Cricetulus griseus: one gene and its partners. The protein of the gene in region 3 purifies or fractionates together with the protein of the main gene of each other region. This does not show direct contact. Links are inferred from orthologs where the notes say so. Each region holds a gene or a part of one and is shown on either strand. Other genes may lie near its edges.

What was found.
Region 1: the proteins of Ralbp1 (region 3) and Reps2 purify together in Homo sapiens (affinity purification with mass spectrometry; 3 studies listed by BioGRID and IntAct, counting the BioPlex papers as one, with this or other methods). This does not show direct contact. The link is inferred for Cricetulus griseus from reciprocal best matches to the Homo sapiens genes RALBP1 and REPS2.
Region 2: the proteins of Ralbp1 (region 3) and Aak1 purify together in Homo sapiens (affinity purification with mass spectrometry; 3 studies listed by BioGRID and IntAct, counting the BioPlex papers as one, with this or other methods). This does not show direct contact. The link is inferred for Cricetulus griseus from reciprocal best matches to the Homo sapiens genes RALBP1 and AAK1.
Region 4: the proteins of Ralbp1 (region 3) and Ccdc6 purify together in Homo sapiens (affinity purification with mass spectrometry; 3 studies listed by BioGRID and IntAct, counting the BioPlex papers as one, with this or other methods). This does not show direct contact. The link is inferred for Cricetulus griseus from reciprocal best matches to the Homo sapiens genes RALBP1 and CCDC6.

What each region holds. Positions count from the first base shown.
Region 1 is NC_048604.1:97,396,425-97,401,544, forward strand, and holds part of Reps2 (ralBP1-associated Eps domain-containing protein 2), read right to left. Parts: intron 2,212-5,120; coding exon 2,139-2,211; intron 716-2,138; coding exon 662-715; intron 1-661. UniProt on the Homo sapiens protein: Involved in ligand-dependent receptor mediated endocytosis of the EGF and insulin receptors as part of the Ral signaling pathway. By controlling growth factor receptors endocytosis may regulate cell survival.
Region 2 is NC_048601.1:58,729,380-58,734,499, reverse strand, and holds part of Aak1 (AP2-associated protein kinase 1), read right to left. Parts: intron 4,952-5,120; coding exon 3,834-4,951; 3' UTR 1-3,833.
Region 3 is NC_048595.1:454,797,965-454,803,084, reverse strand, and holds part of Ralbp1 (ralA-binding protein 1), read left to right. Parts: intron 1-2,308; coding exon 2,309-2,416; intron 2,417-3,552; coding exon 3,553-3,674; intron 3,675-3,851; coding exon 3,852-3,975; intron 3,976-5,120. UniProt on the Homo sapiens protein: Multifunctional protein that functions as a downstream effector of RALA and RALB. As a GTPase-activating protein/GAP can inactivate CDC42 and RAC1 by stimulating their GTPase activity.
Region 4 is NW_023276806.1:267,503,442-267,508,561, forward strand, and holds part of Ccdc6 (coiled-coil domain-containing protein 6), read right to left. Parts: intron 1,662-5,120; coding exon 1,561-1,661; intron 1-1,560.

The DNA of each region.
Region 1 (5,120 bases), on a different chromosome or scaffold from region 3:
GGTACAGGCACAGGCACGCGCACACACGCACGCACGCACGCACACACACACACACACACACACACACACACACACACACACACACACCACCTCCTCTTAAATAAATAAATAAATAAATAAATAAATAAATAAATAAATAAATAAAATATGTTCGGAAACCCAGGCCCAGACATTCTCTATGGTTTCCCAGTCACATTTCTACTTCTCCCAGAAATGGACCAGCACAACTTCTACTTTTCTTCTGCTTGGAATCTACTCCATGTTTAACAAGTAGCTTCTTGGTAGGGAAGAGGTATAAAGATATTTAAGATTAACACTTTGGTAATGGAAAATACCAACTGTGGGCTTCAGGTTAATTCACCTTATGAGCTCCTTACTTTACAAAGAAAGCATAGGAGTTTATCTGAATCACTGAAATTCTAAGGTGTCCTAATTTTATACTTCTAAATTCAAACTGAGTGAAATCTAAAGTCAGCCTTTTCTGAAGAGAGGGAAATGGTGGAACATCTAAGGCTTCTTGTAACAAAATACAAGCCAAGGTTCTAGAGAAACGAACAGACACACTATCACAGACATAATAATCTTCAAGTTACCAAACAGCTGAGGTTTTTTAATTTAGAAATGATTAGACAGCGAATACATTAAAATGGTTTTCTCCTACCTGTATCCTCAGCCACGTCCTTTGGTAAGGGTTCATTAACAGTACTTTTCAAAGCTAGTAGTATTTTGTTTCATGTTTAAGGAAGAAGAAAGAGAAAGGAGAAGAAAAAGAAAACAAAGGCCTTTTAAATTTTTATTTCTGGGATAAAAGATATTAAAACAAATAATCCCTATCCATCAGTTATAAAAGTGTTACAACCCTCTAGAAGTTGCTATAGAATTTCTAGAATAAACCTCATAGAGCATGGAAACAGGGTCTCCACCTACAGAAGGAAAAACTATTTTCAACTTTCTAAAGAGACAGCCACTAGTGGTTAGGAGGAGTATTACCAAAAAGCATCCCAAATTTCTCCCACTTTCCTTCCTAACAGCCAAATCAATGATGAGAGAATGCTTGGAATTTAAACCCAAGCTTCAATATTCTTAGAGCTTTGCAGCCAACACAAAATTCACAAGTTAGTAAAGTGATCAACAGCAGATAATGTCTAGCTCCACTTGAATTTCCTAAACAAACATTTAAATAGAAAGCAAGACACCATCAGTGCTTAATGGAAACCTTTTTCATGTTTAATGTCTCTGTGAGGCTGAATTAATGGCAGGGCTCAACAATAAAACCTGAAATGGCTTCCCTTCAGACAGGCTTCTCCCACTTGTGAGTGGTGAATTGATATAACAGATGGAATACTGGCTTAAGACAGAAAATCTTGGTTCCTGTCCCAGTTCTTTTTCTTCTTGTACAAGTAGATGATTCATGCTGCCTGTCTGAGCTCAGTTGCTTATTTCTAAATGTTAAGTGATTTCAAAAACATTAGTTTTGTGAGGTCTGTAAAAAGACAGTATGTGAGGAAGGACTTGGTAAATTACAAAAGGATCACACAAAGTACAGGGTTCAGAGGATAGGGTCCTGCCTGCACTTCTGGATACTGCAGGCAAATTAATCCCCATGCCTGAGGGTATCTCTAGCACTGAACACTATGCTGCATGCCTTCTCAGCTACCCAGTAAAACAAGGATATTGAAACCAGGCTCCATATCACACCTCCATAACCACTGGAACAATGAGAAATACATAAAGCTTTAGGATTGACACACTGTATGAAAGAACGAACTTCTTCATGGATTAGACCTGTATGCAAATGTACATTTATGGTAGTTTATTTTTTCAAATCATTTATACCAACACTAGATATTAATCGTCCAATTCTTCTTATTTCCTAACTATGGGACCAGAATCCAATGTAAGGTGTCAAAGTACCCTAAGATTAACAATGACCAATGAATTAAGGGGACTCAGAAACTGAAGCTCATACTACAACTTGTGAATTACAGGCTTCTGACAACAGTTTAAACTACACAATCTATCCAAATGAGTGTACATTCTGAGCACTGCCTCATATGATTTGGAAGCTGTTCCAGGAGAAATAGATGAGGAAATATAGGAAGGTATGCCTATAAGAATAAAACTAATTCTTTTCATACCTTGTTTGTCATCACCAGTAGTCACATCTTGGGTAGGAACAGGAAAGTCAGCCATGTCTTTAGCAGATGTCTTCTTGGAAAAGAAAATTAATTATATGGTTTGAAATAAAAATCAAGTGATAAGCACACATGAATATATGTCTTAAAGGTTATAGTTCATGTCAAAATTTATGTCTTCAGTAAGTCCTAACATTTAATACTATTTTATTAATTTGGTTTCCTGATGAAGTAAACGTGCACTAAAATGTTTATATACATAGAGGAAAGAAATAGGTTTGAGAAACATGGAGATTCATATTAAGGCATATTATTGAATCTTCCATTAAATTTGAATCTTGAGTAGGATTCAACCAGAGTTTTTGTTTGTTTGTTTGTTTTGTAAAATTTGTCTAGTCAACCATCACTAACCTGCCCTTTATAAACTTTTTCATGCAAAGAGGGTATGATAATGAACCCATAGTGGGAATATCTGCCAGGATCTGTAGTGATATTCAGCCTCCTTGTGAAAGAATTAAAAAACTTACTGATGGGCAAATAAAAAATGCCCCTAAAGCTGAGCACAGTTGCACACACCTTTAATCCCAGTACTCGGGAGGCAGAGGCAAGCAGATCTCCGTGAGTTTGAAGCCAGTCTGGTCTACAACTCAAGTTTCAGGACAGTCAGGGCTGGATAGAGAGACCCTGTCTCAAAAAATACTCCTGACTCATAGATGAGTAAAGTTCTAATAAGTTGAATACACAAACTGGTCACATATGAATTGTTTTAAAATAGTGTAAAGTTTACTAACTATAAATTTCCAATAAGCTCCACAAATATGTACTCTAACTATAGCAATATATAGTATGCTTAAAATTTTCACAAAGAGAAGATCTTAAATATCTACTGAAACCAAGCCACAGTGTGAGGTGATGGGGGAACTATGTGGCTTTGACTGTGGTTAACTGCTTCACAATCTGTGTGTGTAAACCTCTATACGTGTATCAAAACATCATAAACATGTGAAATTATATTGGTCTACCCCAAAACTGGAAAATATGTACTCTAAGGCCTCTACTGTGATTAGAGGACAATATCTACTCATATTTGTGTTATGTTTGTATGCAAACTCTGGAAGAATGGCTAGGTAGGTGGAGAAATAAGTGACAGGATGACTTGTCACCAAATGCACTTTGTTATTACATACATTTTAAACATATTTGAAACTTAAGAGATAAATTTTAAAATGCAAAGGAAGGTGATTAAATTCATAGAGGTATTTGGTATCCAATGGTGAACTTTAGTCTGCATCTCAGAACTCAAACAACCACAGAGATAACCCATGCTTCTGGTTTTCAATTGTACTTGGCGGGAACCTGATCAAAAGTCTAACAATCCACATCTAGGTGACTCTTTAAGTGTTAATATTGCTTTTATGGACGGGTGGTGGCACACACCTTTAATCCCAGCACTCAGGAGGCAGAGGCAGATGGATCTCTGTGGAGTTTGATGCCAGTCTGGTCTACACAGTGAGTTCCAGGACAACCAAGGTTAAACAGAGAAACCTCGTCTTGAAAAACAAAAAGCAAATCGTTTTTACAAGATAATGTAATATATATATATATATTAACTCATTTTAAAGTAAAAAGATTTTGTTTATAACTGCAGAGAAATGACTACACAGACAGCTCCTATATCCACTGAGTTATGTGATGAACTAGAAAAAATTTTCTGTGTAGAAAATGGCAAAAATTATAACATTTCCCAGGCTATCCCAATAAATCCATTTAAACCAATAGTAGCCAAATTATACATTCATGGATATTGTTTACATTCTAGGATCCAGAAGAAACTTAGGCCACATTTCTTGAAATAGCCATGTTTTACTTTGTGTACATGATGTTCCAAGTAATCTTTCCCTTCATTTTATTTCTTGAGAAGTTCATATACAAGTGCTGTGTTTATATCATTTCTACCACATACTCTCTTCCTCCAACTCCTCCTATGTCCTCCACTCCTTTCAAACTCATGACCTCTTCTTCTTTCACAATTATTTTATGAACATATGGATATATGATGCAGCCTGCTAAGTCCATCTAGAATTGCTTGTATGTACATGTATTTAGAGCTGAGTACTTACTTGGTACTGGATAACCTATCAGGAATCTTGTCCCTAGAGAAGACTGATTGTCCCTCTCTTAGCAATCATTCATTTCCTATAGCTTTTCATCTAGAAATAATCCAATGATAACACTAGTTGACATTCCAATGTGGAAGAAGGAAATCTCACAAGGCCCTCTCACTTCTTGATTTATACAGTATCATTTTTCTGTAGGCTAATCCATAGTCCACATCTACATTTTAGCCGTTCCTTCTGAAAGGCAGCTAACATGTCCTTAAATCCACTTGGCATTGCATGCTTTCCTATCCTAATAGGTGATTCTCCACACTACAATGAAACCCCCAAAAGTCATTTCCTATTCACCACCTATTACTTATAGTAAGCTATAGAAGAAGTCTTTTTTTTTTTACAGTGCTGGGGATTGACCCTAGAGTCTCATAGCATTCTAGGCAAGTGTTTATGCCACCAAACTATATCCCCAACCTGTTTTTCTGTTTTTCTTTTGAGGCAAGTCTCATTAAGTTTCCCAGGTCAGCCTTAAAATCATTCCATAGCCAAGAATAGTCTTGAGCTTATAATCCTCCAGTCTTAACATAGGAAACAGCTAGCAATACAAATGTGGCCAGGCAATAGTGCATTGCTTTTATTGTCTTCTCCTACCCAGATCGCATTAGAGAAGAAAGTAGTCTAGGGATAAAAAAAATGCAGATAAAAATAAATCCAAATAAATCACCGAAAAATCTTGCTCAAAACACCAAAACAAACAAAAAACAATGGACACAAGATTTTAATAGCTATTAAATACACAAATGGCTAACCAGCACATGAAGAAATGTTCAATATCACTGGTCATTTTCAATGTGAAACTATAATAAGATATACT
Region 2 (5,120 bases), on a different chromosome or scaffold from region 3:
CACCCTGAGGCGTGTGACAGTGTACAGGCCTTCAATCTCACAAGTGAACCAAGACAGCCTGTATGAACTAAAATCTGCATTCCATCTCCAGCTTCTGTTCACTTTCCTGACTAGATTGCTCATGATAGACCCATCTATGGCTCTCTGTCTCCCACTACCATAGTTAATTAAATCCAATGGTTGCACATGCTGGGTAAGCATTCTACCACCTAAATACAAAACCAACCCTCTTGAAATTTCAATATTAAAATCTTGCTAAGCTGCCCAGGCTGGTCTTGAACTCACAATTCTCTTGCCTCTGGGATCATAGGTGTGCCTGCCACAGATATTCATTTCATTATTTTATTTCATTTGTTTTGGCGCTAACCATGGACTTGGTGCTAAAGAGCTGTATTGTAAGCCTAAGAAATTGGTGAGACATTTTCCATTACACAGAAGTTAACTCTGTTAACAGTGCTCATTAGTCAGCTAACAGGGAAGAGCTCACGGCTTCACCTATGCCAAGTTCCCTCTCTGAGCTATGTCCCCAGCCTAGCACATCATTCAGGAGTTCATTAGTACATGATAGGCTTAAGGCTTTGTCTAAGGATATTCTGACTCATCTCTTTCTACTGAGTCAAAAGTTGACAGTCTCCTGTGTTTCCTATGAAATATACAAAGCAACTAACACACAGCAGAAATTAAAACAAAGTGCAGGACTTTGTTGACAATGTTTCCCCTTCCTTACTAAAAAAAACTGTTAGAGTACGGTCACTGGGAACCGGCTATTGGTTCATAGACTTTCAGCACTCCTAATTACCTGTAAAACAAACTTCCAAATATCCACTCAGGATGGCCTCCCACCAGGACACTGGATCTTACCCACTGATCCTGTAATCCACACTCTTCCACAGCACTTCCTTCAGAACTCATCTGTCAGCTAGTCTCTTGTCAGATTTCCTTCACTAACTGCCGCATTAAAAAAAAAAAAAAAAATTGCATGTGGTCACATTCATTTCCTATTCAAAGATGGTAGATAGACTTTCCACTCAGTAGATAAAAACAGGCCCGAAAGCCCATACTTCACAAATGATCAAATGATTCAACTATATAAAATAAAGAGTCCATGATTTTATCCTAATTTGGACCTTGTGAATTATAATGACTATTTAATTAGATGGAGTGATACAGTGATCAAAGTTACAGCAGTTTGCAGCACTGTTACATAGCTGATGTTGACATTGCATTCTCAAATTTCTATTCAAGAGATGGGTCCTTGTATGTTGCCAAAGCTGGCCTTGAGATCCTGGGCTCAAGCTGTCCTTCTGCCCAGCCTTCTAAGTAGCTGGGACTACAGGTGTATGCTGCAATCCGGCAAGAGTCTGTGACATCAAGGGAGGACTCTGAACATTCCCATCCTTTTTGCACATGACTTGGAGGACTTCACCTGACAAGAAGCATGGGAAGTTTGGTTGCAAAGTTCCATGTACATTAGCCAAACTACTCATTTAACAGAAAGACCAGTTTGTATCCACTAGTATAAAAATTTCAAAAATAATAACTTTGAGAAATCAAATTCCTAGAGAGAATAGTTTACTGAAGTGAAAGGCAGGTTTCTAGTGGAGTCCTCACTTGGCAACCACTGCTGGGGGTGGGGAGGAGGGAGGATGATATATGCCTGTTATTTAAACAGGTGTAGAACACCAAAAAGAAAAGTACTGAAAATAGCTCCCTTTTTCCCCTCCTAAGACAGGCTTTCACTCACTGGCTGTCCTGGAACTTGCTATGCACACAAGGCTGGCCTCACACTCACACAAATCCACCTGTTTCTGCCTTATATGTTCTAGGATTAAGGTGCCTGCCACCACACCCAGCAGAAAGTAACCACTCTTATGTTACCGTCCAGAGTCTTGGGTTTTATCATTTTTTTGTGTGTGACAAGGACGGAACCCAGAACATGGTGCATGCAAAGCATGTATTCTTCCACAGAGTTGTACAGCCAAATCCTAACTTTCAAACTCAAAAGGACATCACAACTAATTGAGTGCACGTGCAGCCTGGCATTTAGGCTTCATGACTGGATGGATTTTAGGTAATTCTTCTTTTATTTTTTGGGACAGTGTCTCATGTAATCTAGGCTGGCCTTGAGCCTGCACCCCCTAAGTGCCCTGCTAACAGGAGTGTGCTACCATGCCTGGCTTCTAGTCATTTTTATATCACTAATCTAGTTTGGTGCACAACTCTCCACACTTCCCCCAAGCACGTAGAGGAACTGTATGCTAGAAGCTGTAAGTATGCACGGAATTTGGTACAGACTCTTTCCATTAAACTCAACTTCCTCAACAGAAACCTCCCGGTGGAGTCACAAGTTTTCTTTTAAGGCTCTAAAAATGGAGAATATGAGAACACTAGGAATGAGTCAGAGCTTTCCAGAAATAAAAACACACTTCTGAAAACACAGCCAGTCACCTGTCTGTTCTACTTTAGCATCTGAACGGAACAGACAATTTAAAGATCTGTAAGGACAGCTGACCAGTTCTTTTTCATTTTCAGCTTACTCCTAGGTATCAGGTTTGTACCCACTCAAGAGGCAACAGACATGTATGGGAAGAGGTGGGGGTTGGGTGCAGGCAAACTTGGCTTGTAGCTTAGGTACATTATGAATGAATTTCATAATAATGATACCCAGGAAGGATTTCCAGTGACTGGAACTCTAAAGACATTCTTCCCCTGTTGCCACAGAAAAAAAAAAAAAAAGGACCAGTGACTTTTTTGAGTAGGAGAGGGTGTTGAGATATGGTGGCTTGGAATTCAGTATTAAGGCCAGGCTAGCCTCTAACTTGTGGCAGTCCTCCTGTCATAGTTTCCTAAGAGCTACAGGTATGAGCTACCATGTCCATTTTGGGAAATGTGAGTTTTCAAAACCAGGTAAATGGAATTTTAAAAATCTACTCTGAAACCTCAGTTCCAGCAGGATTGCCCCATACGGTCTAACAACTTCAATTTTACCATGAGAAAAACATCCAAATAAAGCCAAGGTTCAAGTCAGGTCAACAGGCAAACATAAGAAAATGATTTGATAATGGAGGTAGGCATGGTGGTTTCACTCAAAGGAAAATGTTTCTTGTACACACACACACACACACACACACACACACACACACACACACACACACACGTATCCATACTAGTCTAAAAAGTGGACCATGGGAAGGCAGAGTGAGCTTTTTCCACCTGTGTGCTCTTTTACAAGACAGAGAATCTGAGCCACATCATGCACCCAGACATTTGTGCACAAGGGCCAGCTAGGCTCATATGGAATCAGTGAAAGATCCTTTGAGAGCTGCTGGCTCCACAAGAATGAAAGATGAGTGTGGCAAAAGGATTAACTTCTTTAGACGTGCAGTAGGTTTATATTGCTCTTTTTTTTTTTTCTAGAAATCTCTCTGTTCCAAGAGTATTGTCAAGTCTTGGAGAGAATTCATCTTGACTCTTCAAGTGACTCCCAATAGGAGCTGCAGGCATTCAAAGTTGTGGTGTAATACAGCCTCTGGTAACTGGGGGTAAAATATTCCTTGATTAAAAAGGTTTCTGGGCAGGAAAGAACCAGAATTCTGACTGCAGGTGGAAGGCCTATGTGAAGGACCAGAAATACCTACAAGTCCAGAAAAGAGTTTAAACAAAAAAAGGAAGTGTAACATAAAGAGCAACCTTGCTAGTTGCCTTGAAGTGATTCTGCTCTGAGGCAGGGAACTACAAGGTCACAGTGGATACTCCCTGGAAGGCCTGCCAGGAGTGGTGTGATGGGTGCTGGTGGGGTAGGTAGAGACAGGCCTCAGGCTGGGCCTCTGCTCCTAGGGTTTCTGTTTGCCTGCTTTTGAAGGGAAGGGCGCTAAAGCAAAAGGGTCAGCAGCGGGCAGCTCTGTAGTCCTGGAGGACAGAGATGTGACAGACACAGAGCCAGCCAGCAACTGCTTATTGCTTTGTGAAACAATCTTGTAGGCAGCGATGGGCTGGGCTTCTGGACTTGACTCATCTTCTGGGCTATAGTGTCGGGAATATTTGGACAAAGCCTGGGGGCGGAATTGCTTGCCAGCCACCGGCCCAGAAAAGGCTTCTTTCTGGGGCTGCAGGCCTCTGTTTCTGTCACTGGGATTACTCCCAGATTCCATGGGAGAACCTCTGGGAGAGCTGCTGTCAAAATGGTCTGCCACCTGGACAGAGTGGGAAGGGAGACCAGCCTGCTGCGTAAAGACACCCTGCGTCTGGGCAGGGGTGTACATAGCTCTATCGAGGCCTGGAAGCAGGGGCCCTTCACCAGGCTGACTGAGGCCGGCCTGCACTGGCAAATCCTGTGAGGAGCCCTGTACGGCCAGTAACTCCTCCACACTCCTCTTCTTGGTAAAAGGAGCTCTGGAGAACACGTCCACCTCCTCTGTCTGGGAAGGAGCTAAACTGCCCTTGGAGACAAAAGGGGCTTTGGAGAAAATGTCCATGTCATCTGCTGGAACCAGAGAGCTCCTGAAGGGGGCTGTGGCAAAGACATCAGGCTCTCCGAGACCATCTGAGGCCTGCTGGTTGACTGGCAAGAACTGGCTCTTTTTCCCGCCTTGTCCCCCCTTTTCTGGGTTAGCAGACACTCCAGGTTCAGAGAACAGAGTGGCTTCTGCCAGCTTCTCCTGGGGAGGCCTGCAGCTCTCATCCTCCTCTTCAGACTCCAGAAGGAGAGGCCGAGACCCGCTGCAGTCCAGCACGTCCCCCTCCAGGTCGGTGCCCTCCTCCTCACTGCTGTGGAAGGAGCTATTGCTGGAAGGCCCCTCTCGGGTCAGGGAGTCAGATTCTAAGGTGTTCTGGGTCTTTGTTCCAGGAACTCTGCAGGGATCTGGATAGAGGGCGAGGCCTTTGGCACCCACGGGTTCTTTAAAGTGCTCTACAGTAATTACAGGACAAGGACTGGGCTCTCTCTGGAGACCTAGAAAAGCATAAAATTTAGAATTAATGTGGAGGCTGGGTCAGAGCTTTTTGGAACATTTAATGGTCAACCGAGGCAGATACATTGTGGAACCAAATGATAGATGTTGAAAATGGAAAAACAGAAAAATAAAAAGTCAAGCAAGGTAAATGCACACAGACTGAGGACA
Region 3 (5,120 bases):
CACCTCTCAGACTTGGAGAGTGGTGTAGGGGATTGTTGCATGCAAAGAGCCACCTGAGTCTTTTGCTTCAAGGTCACAGGCTTTGTTGGGAGCATAGTTGTGCTTAGCCCTGCACTCCAGGTGTCAGGACATGTAGTCCAGGGGAAGCCCTTTGCATGGTTCTTTTCTCCCCAGCTCACAAGATTGTCTTATGTTTCCCATCCTTTTTTTTTTTTTTTTTTTTTTTTTTTTTTAATAGGATCTCATGTGGCCCATGATACTCTCAAACTTGTTCTATAGCCAGGATGACCGTGATTCTGCTGCCTTTGCCTCCCCAGTGCTGGATTGCAGCAGTGGGTTTCCATGGGCTGTGAGTCACGACTTAGAACATGGCTAGTGGAGGCTGGGCTTTCCTTTCTCGTGTTGCACATCTATTTTGAATAAAAGAACCATGGTGTAGGGCATGGAGACAGCAAAAGGCAAAGTCCTTGCTTTTGCAAAAGTAAGGACCAGAATTCAGTCCCCAGCACCCAGATAAAAGCCAGATGCGATGACTTATGTTTGTAATCCCAGCTCTGGGGAGGTGGAGACAGGAGAGGTGTCTCCTACCCTAGAGCTACCCGTGAGGCCAGCTACCCTAGAGCAGTCTGTGAGTTCCAGGTTCGGTCAGAGACATTGGCTCAAAAAATAAGGTAGAGAACTGATTGGGGAATGACACCCAACAGATGGCCTCTAGCCTCTACACATATGCACCCAAGTACCCAAATACAGGTGCACACATACACACAGAATTTTGGATTGAAACCTGAGGCAGTATGAAAAGGGGATGGATACCTTCATTTTATCAGGTTGGTTCCCTCTCCTACCATTCCTGATGCTTGCTGCCTTTTTTTTTTTCCCCGGCAGTGGGGGGGGGGGTTTGGTTTTTTGAGACAGGGTTTCTCTGTGTAGCTTTGTAGACCAGGTTGGCCTCTGCCAGCCTCTGCTTCCCGAGTGCTGGGATTAAAGGCTGCACCGCCACTGCCTGGCCTTTCTTTGCTTCCTTCTTTCCTTCCTTCCTTCCTTCCTTCCTTCCTTCCTTCCTTCCTTCCTTCCTTCTTATTTATCCATTCATTGTTGCTGTGAACCCAGGTCCCATCATGTTGACTTCACCTTTGAAGGAGAAATGACATAAAAACAGAAGTAGCATCATTAGTGGATTAAAGACTAAAAATAAGAAAAAAATGTAGTATCAATTTAAACCACGATACCATCTTGGCACTTTCTTATAAATTTACACGTGATTACTTATCGTATAACCCAGAAATTTATCCTCTAAGAGAACAACAACCCATGGGCCTTCACAGAACATTGTAAAGAGCTTATAACAGCTAAAAGTAGAGGACCCTGAGTGGATCAGGGAGTTGAGGCTCATCCATGCCATGGCCGTCACTTGGCAACACTCCCCTCAACACAGGAGACAAAGCATCTTAAAGCCAAGTATGAAGCTGAAGAGCTACCTGCTGAGTCAGTTCAGCAGAAACACGGGAAGAAGGGCTGTAGAGTCAGACAGCAGGTCTGTGGTTGCTGGGCATCAGCAGGTAGTAGAGCTGAGGGGACCTTTCCTAACATAGGGTGGTGGCTGTGGTTCCTTGGTTGAATATATTTGGTAAAACGAGTTCAATCAGGCCCTTAGGATTGGCAGCCCTGGTAGCTCCCTGCAAGACATCGAGCGTGGTCCACAACTGGTGAGCATATTCATCAGAAGTGAGCATTTTTCATAGTGCAGCCACAGACCAAGGGAACCCTGGTGTGTTCTTTTCTTACTTTAAGCTTTTTAATTATTTATGTGTGTGTGAGAGTGCACACGGGTATGGACATGCCAGGCACCCGTGTGGACGACCAAGGACAGCTTGGAGGAATCGGTGCTCTCCACCACATGGTCCTGGGGAAGGATGGACTCCGGGTGTCTGGCTTCTTGACAGCGAGTGTCTTTACCACTGAGCCACCTTGCCGTCTCTACCCACATTATACTCTCTTTTGTTCTGTGTCTGTGTTTTTTGGTGACAGGGTCTTTCTATGTCATCCTGGCTGTTCTTGGAACTCACTCTGTAGACCAGGCTGGCCTCAAACTCACTGAGATCCCCAGGCCTCTGCCTCCTAAGTTCTAGGGTTAATAAAGTGCACTACCACGCCTGGTTCTACCCAAATTATATCCTAAGTCCAGTTAGCAAATGTCCTTCCATCATGTCACACAGGGCACCTGACTGCTGCTAGGGTTTTCTTTAATTTTGGTTTGTGAATGTTTTACACACCGGCTCAACAGTTGGTCGTTTGTCATCTTTGACAGGAGTGTGAGACCAAGATTGCACAGGAGATAGCCAGCCTTTCAAAAGAGGACGTTTCCAAAGAAGAAATGAATGAAAACGAGGAAGTTATAAATATCCTGCTTGCCCAGGTAAGCTAAACTCTTTTCATTTCTGAAGTCATTTATTGGCCATTTTCCAAATAGAAGCTCAACTATAGACTTTTTAAACCAGAATTGTAAAGTGACTCCCAAGGACTTACCCTGTGCTGTGTTTGTTGAATTGTTGTGTGGAGGAGAAGCTACCTAGTTTCTTAGTCTTGATCAGTCCACACAAGTTCATGTTGTAGGCATTTTTCTTGATTTACAGGAGAGAATAAAGTTCTGGTTTACTACCTTAAAGATTTTCCGTCTGAGATTTCTTGGAGTGTTACCTCCATACGTAGGTACCCTGAGGCAAAGGAGAGGTGCCTGATAGCCTTTCAGTCCTTATGGGGCATGGCCACGTGGCTCCTCTTTAGAAGGATGCTGAAGCTGTTCCTGCAGCTCCTCATTCCTGCTGACTGCTTTCCAGGGTGGAAGACTTGGATTCGAGCAACAGGGACTCTGTGTGTGATTATCTGTGGAGTTCTTGCTGTCTGTGTCTGGAGGGCATGGCTGATGCCGAGAGGAAGACCTGTGACCTCCCATCCTCCCTCTCTCCCTCTCTCTCTCCCTCTCTCTCTCTCTCTCTCTCTCTCTCTGGTCTGCCTTACATCTGCCGTGAGACCAGCCACACATCATCTCTTGGGCTCTTCTGTTCCTGGTGACCCCTAACCCCGAGAGACAGGGAGTCAGAGTAGACGGGTTTTAGATTGTGTTTATTTATCTGTGTGTATGTGTTGTTCAGGTGTGTATGTTCAGGTGCCTGCTGGGCCAGAAGAGGGTGTTAGATCTCCTTAAGCTGGACTTACATGTTGTTGTGGGTTCTCCAGTGTGAGTGCTGGGAGCTGGGGGGGGGGGGGGGGCGGCGTCTCTGGAAGAAGAGCAAGTACTCCTAACTGCTGAGTACTCTGGTCAGCCCCCAGGAAGCTGAGGCAGGTTGACCTTTGCCCCCTGGTCTTGGGTGGTAGGCTCATAGGGAGAGTCTACATGTTCTCAAAACAGCTTCGTGTAACTCGGCTGATTCTGAGGAAATAGTGTGGCTTTGGTTGAGGTAACTTGTGTTCAGCACTGAGCAGGGTGGGCGACCCTGGAAAGGTGGCGTTTCCTCTACCAGAACTTGGAAGGGTGCTCTGCAATCGTTTCAGGAAAATGAGATCCTGACTGAGCAGGAGGAGCTCCTAGCCATGGAGCAGTTTCTGCGGCGTCAGATCGCCTCGGAGAAGGAGGAGATCGAACGCCTCCGCGCTGAGATCGCCGAGATACAGAGGTAAAGGGGGCGGGCGTTCCGCTGGGTTGTCTAAATGGGGGTAGAATGTTTAAACCCTCCTGCAAACATGTCTGAAACCCATCACCTCAAGCTTCTTACCAAGTCTGAGAACAGCATGGGTGGACCTCAGAGAGCTGGCCACCAAGCCACAGTGAAGTTCCCTTTGTCTTCTCACAGTCGCCAGCAGCACGGCCGGAGTGAGACTGAAGAGTACTCTTCTGAGAGCGAGAGCGAGAGCGAAGACGAGGAGGAGCTGCAGGTCATTCTGGGAGACCTACAGAGGCAGAATGAGGAGCTGGAAGTAAGTTTGGGAGGGCAACAGTCAGAACACAGTTGTTTTTTTTTTTGTTTTTTTTTTTTTCCAAGACAGGGTTTCTCTGTGGCTTTGGATGCTGTCCGGGCACTAGCTCTTGTAGACCAGGCTGGCCTCGAACTCACAGAGATCCGCCTGCCTCTGCCTCCCAAGTGCTGGGATTAAAGGCGTGTGCCACCAACGCCCGGCTGAAACCAGTCATTTTTAATGTGCTCCCGACCACCTATTTTCCCACTGCAGACTTGTAGAGAGGAGGCCAAGTGCATTCTTGCCCAGCCAATTCTTAGCTGCTTGAAGTGTGGTAACCTTGACGTTAGTGTACAAAGGGACCTTTCTCTTTGGAGTCTTTAAAAAGTGGGTGTCCCTGACCCTAGCAGCTCTTCATGGTCTGGTCTTCCCACTGGAGAAGATGGGATGGGATGGTGAAGTGAGGGACAGTTGTCTTGAAGTCCTTGTCACACCTTGTAGTAGGTGTGATAGAAAGCCCCGGGCAGCAGCTTGCTGGGAAGGGAAGGGCTGATGTACGTGATCTCCTTTCTTATCCCCAATTTGTTAGAGGGACAGCTTGCTTCATTCAGTCACTGAACTGACAAGCAAAGCATAGCCATGCCCACATGGGAGTCAAGATTTGCTCAGAAGCTGGGCTTTTAGGGGTTCATGCCTATAATCTTAGCACTAATGAGTGAGGCAGGTAGATTTCTGAGTTAGCAGCCAACCTGGTCCACAGTGATTTCAGGACAGTTGGGCTCAAAAACAACAACAGAAGATATGAAAACAATCATTTTAGGGGACGGAGAGTTGGCTCAGCGGTTAAGAGCCCTGGCAGCTCTTCCAGAGGGCCTAGGTTCAATTCCTGGCATCCACAGGGGACCTGGGTTCAATTCCCAGCACCCACATGGCAGCTCACATCTATACATACATGCAGGCAAAACACCAGTGCACACAAAATAAAAATAAATAAAATTAAAAAGAATCTAAGAATTGCCCAGGATCTCTGCCCAGGACCTCTGCCCATCCACTGCCTGTGTGGAGAGTTGGCAGTGTTAGGGGCGGATACACCTGTTGCAGCAGGAATCTGTCCTTCAGGAAAGGAAAAGGGACCCCTGGAGGTGGCCCTGCAGGTGACCCTGCTG
Region 4 (5,120 bases), on a different chromosome or scaffold from region 3:
CAGGGCCCAAACTGATAAAGCCAAGACATTTCTACCACACTGTCCTAACTGCAGTGGCTCTAGAGCATCATATCCCCTTTAACAACCTTAAGGGAAATCCTTGTTTTAATCATGACCTCAGACAAAACAAACCACAGTCCTAACAAACCCTTTGCAAGGCCACCCCTATGGTGCTACTCCTCCAGCCTGGCACCACCGACAGACTTGTCCCTCAACTCTACCTGTAGCTTGTTCATCAGCTAGCAGTGTGTCAGACTCTACCTTCTGCCTGATACTCCTGGCACCCACCCTCTGCCTCACCTCCTCATCCTCATCCTTATGGGATGGATCATGTACTTGTCCACCAACATGGGAGTCCCAAGCAGTGCTGGTGCTGGGCCCAGGACACTGAGGAGTATTTTGGGGGTCAGATGAATAAAAGCATGCCAGGAAAGAAAAGCCCTGAATATCAAAGGAGAAGAGGAACAGCTGCCTTGTTTCTTCCTGGTCTTCCAGGCCTCGCTCACAAATCACTCAAGTATCAGAAGGCAGCTCAGGCTGGGAGGAACACTGGTTTTGGACAAGGAAGCCCACCCTGGCCTCTTCACCGGCCCGATGACTCAAGAGATGGTAAGTCACGAATGGCTGTTTCTTGTCCTGCCAGGTCCCGCTGCCCATTCAGCCCCAAATAAGCACACAGACGCTGTATTAGTTCTAAAGCTGTTGGCCGATGATTAGGGCTTCTTACTGGCTAGCTCTGTCTTAATTATTAAACCATTACTATGAATATATGTATTTCTTCATGGCCTTATCTTACTGGAGAATACCTGGCGCGTCCTATCTTGTGGTTGGTTCTCTTTTTGGCGGGCTCCCTCTACCTACCTTTCCCAGAATTCTCCGCATCTCCTTGCCCCGCCTATCTTCCTGACTCTATTCACCAAACAGTGTTTTATTCATCAACCAATAAGAGAAACACGTACACAGAAGGACCATCCCCCATTAGCTTCTCCAATTTTAAAACAGGAAGAAGGATGCCTACAGTATCACTGAGAACAAAAGTGATATGAACGTAGTGGGAATGCAGTGAAGGAGCCCCACAGAAGACGCACGGTAGAGCATCTGGGAAGTCTACCCAGGAATCCTGCCCATCCCCTGAGACTGAAAGAAGACTCACAGTCTTCTTTCAGAAAGGAGTAGTTTTGAGATCAAATTTAGGTTTAAAATGAATCCACATTTAAAGCTCAGCGGATACTGAAGAAGAGGCAGACAGATGGTGTGAAGTCCTTAAAAATAAAAGTTGAAAAATAAAACACTAAATAATAAAATAATAGCAGCAAACAAAACAAAGCACGCAGTCCTTGTGTTTAAGTACGGACGGTGACTTATTTTTGAAAAAACAAACAAACAAACAAAAAACACAAAATAGAGGGGAACATAACCAGGGCTGCCGATAAAACGTATCAGAAGAGCTAGCTGAAAATTGGTGGGGAGGACTCAGCTAAACCCATGTGAGGCCCAGTCCCCACTCCCCGAAAATCCACCGGAAAACAGCTACACTGCGGTAGCGGAGGACACACTCACCGGGTGATATAGGTCTGCTTGAACTGGGAGAAGGCGTGTAAGGGATTGGGCTGGACACAGTGCGAGGTCTTAGTCCTTGTGCAGACATCTCATTAAAATACCTAAAAGAAGAGAGGAAGAGGGAGTTGAAACACCCGTGTTCAAGTGGTCCCTAGAAGACATCTTAGTAGAAACGGTGTGAATGCACAACTTGAGGTTAAAATCCAGGCAGTTGGCGAGGCTGTACCCAGGGGACATTTCTAGTGAGGACTCCTGAGTCAAACTGCTCCAGTTTGACAGACCTCACCACCCCCAGAGGCCTGTCATAGCCATGCCACACATCACAGTGACCCCAGAAGCACAGACATTTATTTATGCTTACTTTTCTATTTGAAACCCAATACCAAATAAGCTCACCAATATTTAAGCTATCCCATTAAGTTTAAAGACACATATGCTCCCTGGGGTTGAGTGTCATACAGTCACAAGGCAGTCTCTGCTAATGGATAGTCACACATTAGAACTTAACAGAAGAAGATACCAGTGCTAAGCACCTTCGGCAGGTCACGCTCAGCCACACTGTGCTGAGTCTAAGCTTCCACCTGACTTTTAAAAGTCACGTCAGCCCCGAACATGCTCAAGTGTGATCATTGGGACCATCGGCTTTCACTCCGTGATCCAAGTCCAGGGTGCTGATGGGAGGGAATTTCTGCTTGACAGACTTCCTGTCAAACCGTCCTCCCTGGCTTTAAAGCTAAACAGGCATGTACTTTCATCCCAGAGTACTGTCAGCCCTGGCGCTAATCCCAGCAGGTTAATGGAGCCTGACTGACAGCTAAATCATATGCCTGCCTCTTTGTCTTCGTCTCTTCTTTAAAACAGCCCACCATGGTAAAACCAGGTAGGACCTTTCTTTGTACTGTACATGCAGGCATGTGGTTAATACCACCCCCCTTTAAGTGGTCTGAAGTGTCTGAAGTTTGCTTTCTCTGAGATCCACCACTTCCGTTATCTGTCCTGGGATGCAGAGTGGTACTGAACTAGGCAACTTCATTGTACCTGGAATAACTTATGGAAGAATAAAAGCAGGGCTGGGGATGCAGCTCAGCTGGCACAGTACTTGCCCAGCATGCACGAAGCCCTGGGTTGTGCCTCCTGAGGTGGTAAGAGGGAGGAGAAGATATTCTAAGCTGATGGAACTTGAAAGCAAGTAGGTATCGCTGATGAAACATCTAACAAAGTAGACTTCAATTGAGAGTTAAGTCAGGAGAGGTAAAGAGGATGTATTGGTTTCATAAATAATTACCATGGGGTGTAAAGACACAGACTTAAGCAGTAATAAGGGAGACTTCAGTTCCCATGCTCACCAAGCAACAGGCCATCCAGACCGAAAGAACTAACAAAGAAACATCAGTCAGATATCACAGATGAAATGGAACAGACACCTTAGATGATTCCACTCAAAACAGTGCAGGATACGCATTCTTATCGGGAGCCTTTGGACCCTTCTCCAAAATGGATCACATCTTAGGAACAAAGCAAGTCTTAGCAAGTAATTAAGAAAGTTTAACTAACTGCTTGCATTCTACCTGTTCACACTGGAGCAAAGCTGAAGAGAGAACACAAAAGGTCACGGAGAATAAATAACACAGCACCAAATGATAACAGGTCATGGAAGAAGCCAGGAGGGAAATTAAAAATTCCCAGAATTCAGTGAAAACAACAGAGTATCAGAACCCGAGGATAAAGAGGTAAGAGAGAGAGAGAGAGAGAGAGAGAGAGAGAGAGAGAGAGAGAGAGAGAGAGAGAGAGAGAGAGAGAGAATGCCAAATTCAAAACTCAATAAATAGAAATACCAAGATCAGGACAGAGGCTAATGAAATGGAAATAACAACTAATAATAATAACCAATGAAACAAAGTGTTGGTCCTTTGAAAAGATAAGTTTGACAGAGCTTTAGCCAAACACACACAGAGACAGACACCAATCAGATTCAAAGGGCCATTAGGGTACAGTGTGAAAACCTACACTCTAAAATATTGCAAGTCTACAAGAAATGGATACACTTTGAAACACACACAACTAATCAGAACTAAACTGAGAAGACATAAGCCACTAAGAGCTCAGACAGAGTCCATCTCAAGCAATGAGATTGACTTAGTAACCCAACTAAATACAATTTTAGAAGTCCAGGCCCAGAGAACTCGATGCTGAGTTCCACCAGACATCTAGAGAAGCAACACCAAAGTTCTTCAACATACGCCAGAAAGTAGCAAAGAGAAGAACACAGCCACATTCAGTTCACATAGCCAGTATTCCTGATTCCAAAACCAGGTCAGGACTAACAACAGCAAATTAGAGGACCATCTTTCTTCTGGGCATAGATTCAAAAATTCCCACTAAAAAAGCTTGTAAATGGGATTGACTATACATCAAGAAGAGCATTTGCCATGACCCAGTCAGTTTGATTTCAAGAATGCAAGGATGGCTCAACACACTCATGTCAATAACTATATCAGCAGTCTCCTAGTGGAAACTGCTTCACCATTTCCATAGTCCAACATCCTTTTACAACAAAAGACCCAAGGAAACCATGGATAGGAGGGGTATAGCTCAACATAATAAAGGATATATGCAGCAACCTGATGGCCAACATCATATTGAATAGGAAAGTCTCAAAGCAATGCTACCCACAGCAGGACTGTGACAAGGATGCCCACTTACTCAAGTATGTCCATGAAGCCTTAGCTAGGAGAAAGCAGACAAAAATAAAATTGATATGAATAAAGAGAGGAAGAAATTGAACAACTCCTATTTGTATATACTATTTGTTACACAAAATAATCCCAAGGACTCCATGTGAAAACCCTTAAATCAGATAAACACTTTCAGAAAAGTAACAAGGTACAAAAATCAACATCTAAAAACTCAGACTTTCTATATACCAACCCTGGCAAGGAATAAATCATGGAATTAAAAACCTAGGAATAAAACTAAACCAAGAAGTTAAAGACCTCAACGACGATGATAAAATTTAAAACTCTGAAGAAAAGAAATTTGATAAAGACCCCAGAAGATGGAAGAAGTTCCCATCGGCATGAATAAGCAGAATTCCTATAATGGTATTTGCAGTCCTCATCAAAATTCCAAAGGTATTCTTCATAGACATGGGAGCGGGGAATCCAAAAATTGAGAGACAAGCACAAAGGACTCCAGAGAAGCAAAGCAATTCGAACAAAAGGAACAGAGTTCACAGTGTCACCATGTCCGATTTCAAGTTATACTACTGAGTCACAGTCATAAAAACATCATGGCACATTGATAAAATAGGCAGAGGCAAGATTAAATCCATGTAACTACCTGACTTTTTGAGAAAGACACAAAAATATACACTGGAGAAGGGACAGCCTCTTTAGCAGATAGTACTGAGAAAGCTGGATACCCACAGGTAGAATGAAACTTGTACAAAAATCAACTCAAAATGGAGCAAAGTCTTTAATGGTAAGACCTGAGAGTCTGAAGCCACCACACTAGAGGGAAACACTTCAAGGGAAACACTTTGCCTTGGTGAAGACTTTCTG